Macaca mulatta: one gene and its partner. The protein of the gene in region 1 purifies or fractionates together with the protein of each later gene. This does not show direct contact. Links are inferred from orthologs where the notes say so. Each region holds a gene or a part of one and is shown on either strand. Other genes may lie near its edges.

Region 1 (3,975 bases):
TAGGGAAAACTGGAGTCCAAGTGGAAGGAGATTACTACAATAAATTAAGTGTTAAATAATGAGGGAATGAGAGACTGAACTAGGGCACTGGCCATGGGGAGAGATGCCACTGATATTAAATAAGACTTGGTATTAAGAGTGGGGTGATAGGGAGCAGTCAAACATCACTCTCAGATTCATGAATTAAGCACCTGAAAAAAAAGACTGCTAGAGAAAGAATGGGTTTGAAGGAGAGGGACAGAAAAATGACGCTATCTATTAAGCAGCAGCATTAAAGCATTAAGGATCCGGAATGTCAACAGCTATGGACTAGAGATACAGATCTAGGAGGCATCAGTATATGCTCAATTAAAACTATAGATATATGCAGAAAAGAGAAACAAGCACAAAAATCTAGGCACAAGTAGACAAGAGTCTATCATGGTAGCTGAGATTAAGGAGTCAGAGGGGTGGAGGATCTAGAAAAGCAAAAGCAAAAAGAGACGAGAATTTCAAACAGGAGGACACGACTAGTTTCAAGTACATCAGAGGTCAAACTAGATAAGGAGGAGAAGTGTCCCTGAGATTTGGCAATTAGGTCACCACTTTGAGCTGGAGTCAGAGAAGAGAATGGAACTAAAGGTTAAAGAAATAAAAACCAGCAAGTATAGTCTTCTTGTCAGAAAAACTTAAGAAATGGATACAGGGAGGTGGATGTTAGAGAGTATTTTGTATGTTTTTATAATAGAATGTCTGAAGGAAAGGAAACTCTGAAACTGTTACTGTTGAGGAACAAAGGGCAGCAGGGTGAGAGGTAACAGAGATGCTCTACCAAGCTCTTCCCTCCCAACAAAGCACACCTACCTGGATGGGGCATCCCACCTGGTGGGAATGGGTGAGGATGTGAGTGTCCATGACCAGGATGTCCTGCCCCTGGGGTTCCTGCCGATGGGGGGCCATGTCCTGCAGCTCCAGGAGGCATAGGTGGTGGGGGCATGGCTGGGGGTATCCCAGGTGGGAGGGCTCCAGGAGGTGGCACTGGGGGTGGGAAGGAGCCAGGAGGAGGCATGCCTATAGAGGAAATGGAAAAAGGAAAAGTTAATGGTAGTGAGGAGAAAATGTCTTTAAAGAGCCTGTCCTGATCTGGCCTCTCTGGGCAGGGTGAGCTCTTTCCCCCTCCTCCCAGTGCTCTAAAATCAAAAGCAATGTTAGAAAAGTCAACCAACTTCACCCTCCTAAAGAAACCCAACAACTTTCTTCTCCACCACTACCATCACCCCTCAGTCCTCTTCCCATCACTCACTGACTCCATGTCCCATCCCCCTTTCAGGCTCTTTTTTTCTTCCTCCTGACTCTCTCCCCCAACCTTAAGACAAACAAATTTTAACCAAAAGCTTTACCTGGTGGAGGAAGCCCAGACCCCAATGATGATACCACAGGATTGGGGGCAGAGGGTGGAGGAGGTGCATCTGCAAACAGCTGATGAGGGCGGTCAGCCTGGGAGAGCGGGTTCTGAGCTGCCAGAAGTCGTTCGGCTGCTGAGCCATGGCGCTCACCCTTGGAGTCCTTCTTGAAGGCATAAGATACGGTGATAGGGCGGTTACAGAGGTACTGCCCATTCATGGCTTCAATTGCTGCATCCGAAGCATCAAATGAAGCAAAATTAATAAAGGCATAACCTTTGGAGTTGCCTGTGTCAGGGTCCCGCATAATCTTGGGGGTTTGTAAGATGACCCCAAAAGCGCTGAAAGTATCATAAAGCAACTTCTCATCAATCTCAGGGTCCAGGTTCCCAATGAAAATGTTGGCCCCTACATCCAGGTTTTTGTTGTGGGCTGATGCTTTGTTCACCCGTATTGGCTTCCCATAGAGTTTGATCATGTTCATGATCTTAATGGCATAGTCAGCATCTTCCTCACTCAAGAATTCCACAAAGCCATAGCCTGGAGAAGTGGAGAAGAGGAGGTTAACAACATAAGAGATTGAAAATGGGGTAAAACTCATCTACCCTCTAATCACAAAGAACAAGAAAGAAACAATCTCACTTAAGAATGGTTCCAGAAATAAACTGAACAGAGGCTTAAAAGAAAGAAATACTTTAGGTTGCTCATGTTATTCCAAAACAGTTGTGAATACTGCCGGGACCCTCCGGAAGCAAATTGCCCCTTGTCATGTACTCACCTTGGTGCTGGCCAGTGACTCTATCCTTTGGCATGTGGGTGTTGACTACTGGTCCAGCCTGGAGAAACAGTTCCCACAGCAGTGGTTCACTAACCTTCTCATCCAGGCCCCCCACGTACACAGTGGCATCTGAAGGGAGGGAGCAGAAAGTTAGAGCAAGGGTGAGAGTATAACATGAAAGAAGGAGGTGATGGAAACATGAAGATGGAACCCAACCGGGGGAACTGGGGACGCGGGTAGGGGACAGGAGCAAAAAAAAAAAGTTAAACCCTTAAACTTCTCTCTCCAGGACTTCAGGAATCCTCTGAAGTCTAATTTAGTATTCTGAGTGGATTTTTTTGTTTTTTTGAGTGAGAACTCAGCAGGGGATTGGACGTAAGTATCACACCCACAGGCCTCAGCCAGCACCTGGCCACCCCGCCCCCAGGAGGCACGGGGCCGGTCTCGCGCCCTCTGGGGAATGGATGAGTCCAGTCTCCCACCCCTGCAGAGGCACTTCTGGCTGTAGTAGGGGCCTCCTAGCCACGCTGAGCCCATTCCAGACTTTCCCCCTCCAGTTACCCTGGTTCCGCTCGGAGATCGGCCCGGCAGCCATGGCGAAAGAGCTCCCGCCGTCTCCCAGCAGCGGTTCCGCCTTCTGACCTCAGCACGACTTCCACTTCCGGGGCGAAGGAGGACGTAGCGCTGGGCGGAGCCGCGGAAGAGGAGGGGCCTGGAAGCGGCTGCAGCCATTTTAGGAGCCTCCAAGACTTAACTCGGGTTGGGCGGTGGAGTCCTCGGCACCCGCGCAGAGGTGCTGCTGCTAGTGGTCTTAGCGAGGAGGGCGGAACGGAAACGCTCAGACCGTCTTAATGCACTGCTAGACTTGAAAGAATCACACTGCTCCCAAAAATGTAAATTCGAAAGCTAAAAGAACAAAAACTTCAGTTTTCATGTATTTTGTAGCCAGTGATGATGTTTTGTTGTCCAGAGAAGGATGTGCTGAAGAGTCCCCCCAACCCGAGGACTTGGCTGCTTTCAGGCGCAGAGGGAACCCTCCATCTCGCCTGCAACCTTCTTGCAGATTTGGCCTCAACAGCCCTGATTTGGGCTGGAGGTATTTGGTTTTCCCTCGGGGAGGAGACTGCGAAATGTCTGAGCTGGAGTGACGTCTGCGCTCATCTCGTCGTAATTGCATGGGGAGGGTGAGGGCTGCTCCAAGGTGGTGTGTGACCACAGGTGAGGGGTGGATAGGATCGGAGCTCAGAGACTTCAGTCTGGATCTCTAGAACAATCTGGCCCCATCTGCCTCTAAATGGGAGACACACACAGAATCCTTTCCCCAAACTGCACTTGAATTCTGCAGAGTCTCACCAAATCCAGTTCCCCTATTTCCTTAGCAATAATACAGTAGATGCCTTCCTCTCTTGGATCATACCCACCTTTTACCCACCACTTTCCTACCTAGGAGAATCCTTTATTCAAACACAAGAAACAATGCCAGTAATGTGTATAAATACTATGCTTTAATGAGCCCCTTAAATAGAAAATTCCGCTACAAAAATACAGAGGAGACAGGGTGTTTCCTGTATCCGCCTCATTCCCATAGAAAACTATAAGGGAAGAAATAGAAGTTGGAATTAAAGCAGCAGCAAGGCGAGGTGAGAATGCGATCTGTAGGCCATCTTGTTGGGACTGATGAACAGCATCTCTGATCTCACGATTTAACATCTGGTTATCCAGAAGGGATGGAACTGGTCTAAAAAAACCGATCAATTTCTGGATTGTTTTTGTTTCTTAATCCTTCAAATGACAAGAAACAAAAATATCCGTAGG
Region 2 (3,521 bases), on another chromosome or scaffold:
TCACTGGAGCCCAGGAGTCTAGCCTGGGCAACATAGCAAGACCCTGTCACTGAAAAAAAAATTTTTTTTATAAAAAATAATTTAGCCAAATTGATAGGTGGTGGTGTGCTTATGTTTTGTATACCTAGTACAGTAAGCTATGAAAAGAATAATACAAGTGACTACTACTCTCTCTGGAATTGGAAATGCTTGGCCATACATTTTTTAAAAGTTACAAACAGCTCCACGTTTTTAAACAGAATAGAACTCCCTCTAAAAGCAGAACTATCTCCAAAAGAAATATTAGGAATGTTTTTAAATGCTTAGAGCTAGGTTAAACAGCTTAATTCAAAACATATTTAAATGTTATATGGTGAAATATCTTCTCTGTCCTCTGAGGTCTTTGGCATTATAGAGATTCCTTAGTCTCCTTCAAGCTTGTTCAAATTCGAGGTTTCCTTAAGAGTCTCTTTAGGAAGTAGGTTGGTGTTAGGCCAGGCACAGTGGCTCATGCCTGTAATCCCAGCTACTTGGGAGGCTGAGGTGGCATGAGAATTGTTTGAACCTGGGAGGCGGAGGCTGCAGTGAGCCAGGATTGCACCACTGCACTACTGGCTGGGTGACAGAGCGAGACTGTGTGTCAACCAAAAAAAGAAGTAGGTTGGTGTTTATATTGAAAATAGGAACAGAAAACAAATTATCTGTACTTTTTAGGATCTAAGTTGAGAATAAATTAATTTTTTTGCTTTCTCTAGCTGGAATGGCTTTACTTGTGTATTATTTGGAAAAGATTATTTTGCATTAAAGTCAAACTTACAGAATTGACTCTTGAATTCTAGACTAACTTTGAATAATTGGACCTGCAGATTGACTATCCACCATTTGAAAAAAACTTTTACAATGAGCATGAAGAGATAACCAACCTCACTCCACAGCAGTTAATAGATCTCCGACATAAGCTCAATCTTCGGGTAAGACAATCATTAAGCTCAGTATTCTTATATCAATGTTAATTAGTCCAGATTTAGTATTATTATTGGTTATCTAAACTAATAACCTTGAATTTCTTTTCTAGTGATCTCTGAACTGTCTTTGCCAGAATAATTATTATGTCCCTTCTGTTCACGTCTCTTAATTTGATTGTTTTAGTCTTCTAGATGCTGTTTTAGGATAAGATCATTTTCTTCTTTCATATTTCAGTGAATTTTGTATGTTCTGTGCTGGATGGGCTAGTGATGAAGGGTGGGAGTCCCCATCTAAAGGAAGAGGAAACAAAATTAATAGATGTTAACATATGATATCTTAGAATATTTTGAAATTAATATAAACTTGTCTGTCAAATTACATATAGTATGCTTTATTTTAAAAATTAGAATAAATTAATACCTTTTAAAATACACATGCACTGATTTCAGAATGGTTTAAACTGCCTACCAAAAGTTTTGAGCTGCACATTGGCTACATTGGTTTAAGGTGCTGATAGATGGTAAATGAAACACACAGAAAGAATATGCTATGCTATCTACTCTTAATATAGACAACTTTCTTGCCTGTGTGCACCTTATCAGTTGCTACACGATGTTTAAACTCCTGTTTTCCAGGAGGGGTGTGTATTTGGTGTGTGTACACTTGTCTGTTTTCCAAGAGGTACTCACCTCCCCAATGACCCAAGAAAATTTTTAAGTAAAACGTTTAACATTTTTTTCACTTAAAAATTTTTAAGTGAAATCCTGACTGGAAATGTCAGCATCACCAGAGGAGCGTTGAAAGGTTACTACTTTGGGGGACACAATGGAGATTATAAGCCCCATTCTTCACCTGGGTACAGTTTGAACAGGGCTTGACAGTGGCTAGACCATCAGTCACTAAGGGAGACGTTAATTCATCAGGCACAACTGAAAATGGAGGCAGTAGATTATGTCTTTGTAGCCAGCATATGTAGAGTTGTCTTATTTGGAGCCAACTTGGAATTTTCATTTCAAAAGTAAGATACGTTAATTTTTTTCTACCCTCTGGTTAATGGTTATGTAAAATGGCAAAAGAAAGAACAGTAATGACTTCCCAATTCATTGAACAGTTTTTTTTCCATTTTGTTTGTTATGAGAAAATTAATTTTGATTTAATAAATTTTTAGTTAATCATTTAAAATTGTATGACAATTATCTTGGGAATATTTGTCATGGAGTTTTTAATATGGGGTTTATATTTGTTACCATTTGAGGTTTTGCCTTTTCATTGTATGATTTTGGCTTACAGACTTGTATTTTCACTTCATACTCCAGCTAAAATGCTAGATCCAGGTAAGTATTGTTGAACTTCAAATGCTGTTAATGTTGAAGTACAAGTCATTCTGGGGAGTTGTCTCTATCTCTAGGTCTCTGGTGCTGCACCTCCTAGACCAGGAAGTAGCTTTGCTCATTTTGGGTTTGACGAACAACTTATGCACCAGATTCGGAAATCTGAATACACACAGCCCACTCCAATACAGTGTCAGGTACGTAAAACATAATGAAAGAAAAATAAAGTAGGGTAATCTTTTGTGACTATATTAGTTTAAAAACAAATCACAGTAGTAAAACTGTTTAGTGTAGAACCTTATTGATAAGGATAGAGGTATTTATTACTCTAAGAAGTCACTAAATGGCTGGCAAATATTCTTTTGTATCTGATACATATCTTGAAAATATGATATGAAGAAAATAATTTATTAGGTCTAAACGTAACCATAAAGGTTTGTATATGGACAAGTTTAGTGCTGTCAATGACTAGAATTCCCTTGTCCATCACTTGAAAATTCTCATTCATTACTGAAAGTTTTAGCTTCTTTTTCCCATTTATATATGGGACTTATTTATTCTTATGAAGAAAATTCTCATTTTCTGTATATGAATGAGATAGTCTATACCTCCTCAAGGGGAGAAAATTTTTAAAAATTTTAGCAACCCTTCATTATAAATTGCGATCTTTCTGGTTTTTTTTTTTTTTTTTTTTTTTTTTTTGAAGACGGAGTCTCACTCTGTTGTCCAGGCTGGAGTGCAGTGGTGCGATCTTGGCTCACTGCAACCTCTGCCTCCCAGGTTCAAGCAATTTTCCTGCTTCAGCCTCCCGAGTAGGTGAGATTACAGGCGTATGCCACCACACCTGGCTAATTTTTTGTATTTTAGTAGAGATGGGGTTTCACCATGTTGCCCAGGCTGGTCTCGAGCTCCTGAGCTCAAGCAGCCTGCCCACCTCGGCCTCCCGAAGTGCTGGGATTACAGACGTGAGCCACTGCCCAGCCTTGATTTTTCATTTCTGTATTTTAAACAAAATGGAGTTGTTTCAGTTCTGTAAGTGGTGGCTGATATCCACATAATGAGAATGATGTCATTTCCTATAAATTAAGAAGTTAATGAGAATGTTGGATATTGATATTTCTATTTCACAACCAGTATGCATAGCACCGGATATGTTTTGTTCCATTGCATATAAAAATGTCATTAGTAGTCATTTATCCTTCCCCAGGATTTGCTTCAGTACACCTTTAGAATTGAAATTTTAGA

Evidence for each region. The genes of interacting proteins can lie anywhere in the genome.
Region 2: the proteins of SF3B4 (region 1) and DDX42 purify together in Homo sapiens (affinity purification with mass spectrometry; 3 studies listed by BioGRID and IntAct, with this or other methods). This does not show direct contact. The link is inferred for Macaca mulatta from reciprocal best matches to the Homo sapiens genes SF3B4 and DDX42.

What each region holds. Positions count from the first base shown.
Region 1 is NC_133406.1:117,227,400-117,231,374, reverse strand, and holds the start of SF3B4 (splicing factor 3B subunit 4), read right to left. Parts: upstream 2,808-3,975; 5' UTR 2,756-2,807; coding exon 2,722-2,755; intron 2,290-2,721; coding exon 2,161-2,289; intron 1,923-2,160; coding exon 1,380-1,922; intron 1,051-1,379; coding exon 844-1,050; intron 1-843. UniProt on the Homo sapiens protein: Component of the 17S U2 SnRNP complex of the spliceosome, a large ribonucleoprotein complex that removes introns from transcribed pre-mRNAs.
Region 2 is NC_133421.1:73,599,107-73,602,627, forward strand, and holds part of DDX42 (ATP-dependent RNA helicase DDX42), read left to right. Parts: intron 1-845; coding exon 846-950; intron 951-2,353; coding exon 2,354-2,473; intron 2,474-3,521. UniProt on the Homo sapiens protein: ATP-dependent RNA helicase that binds to partially double-stranded RNAs (dsRNAs) in order to unwind RNA secondary structures. Unwinding is promoted in the presence of single-strand binding proteins.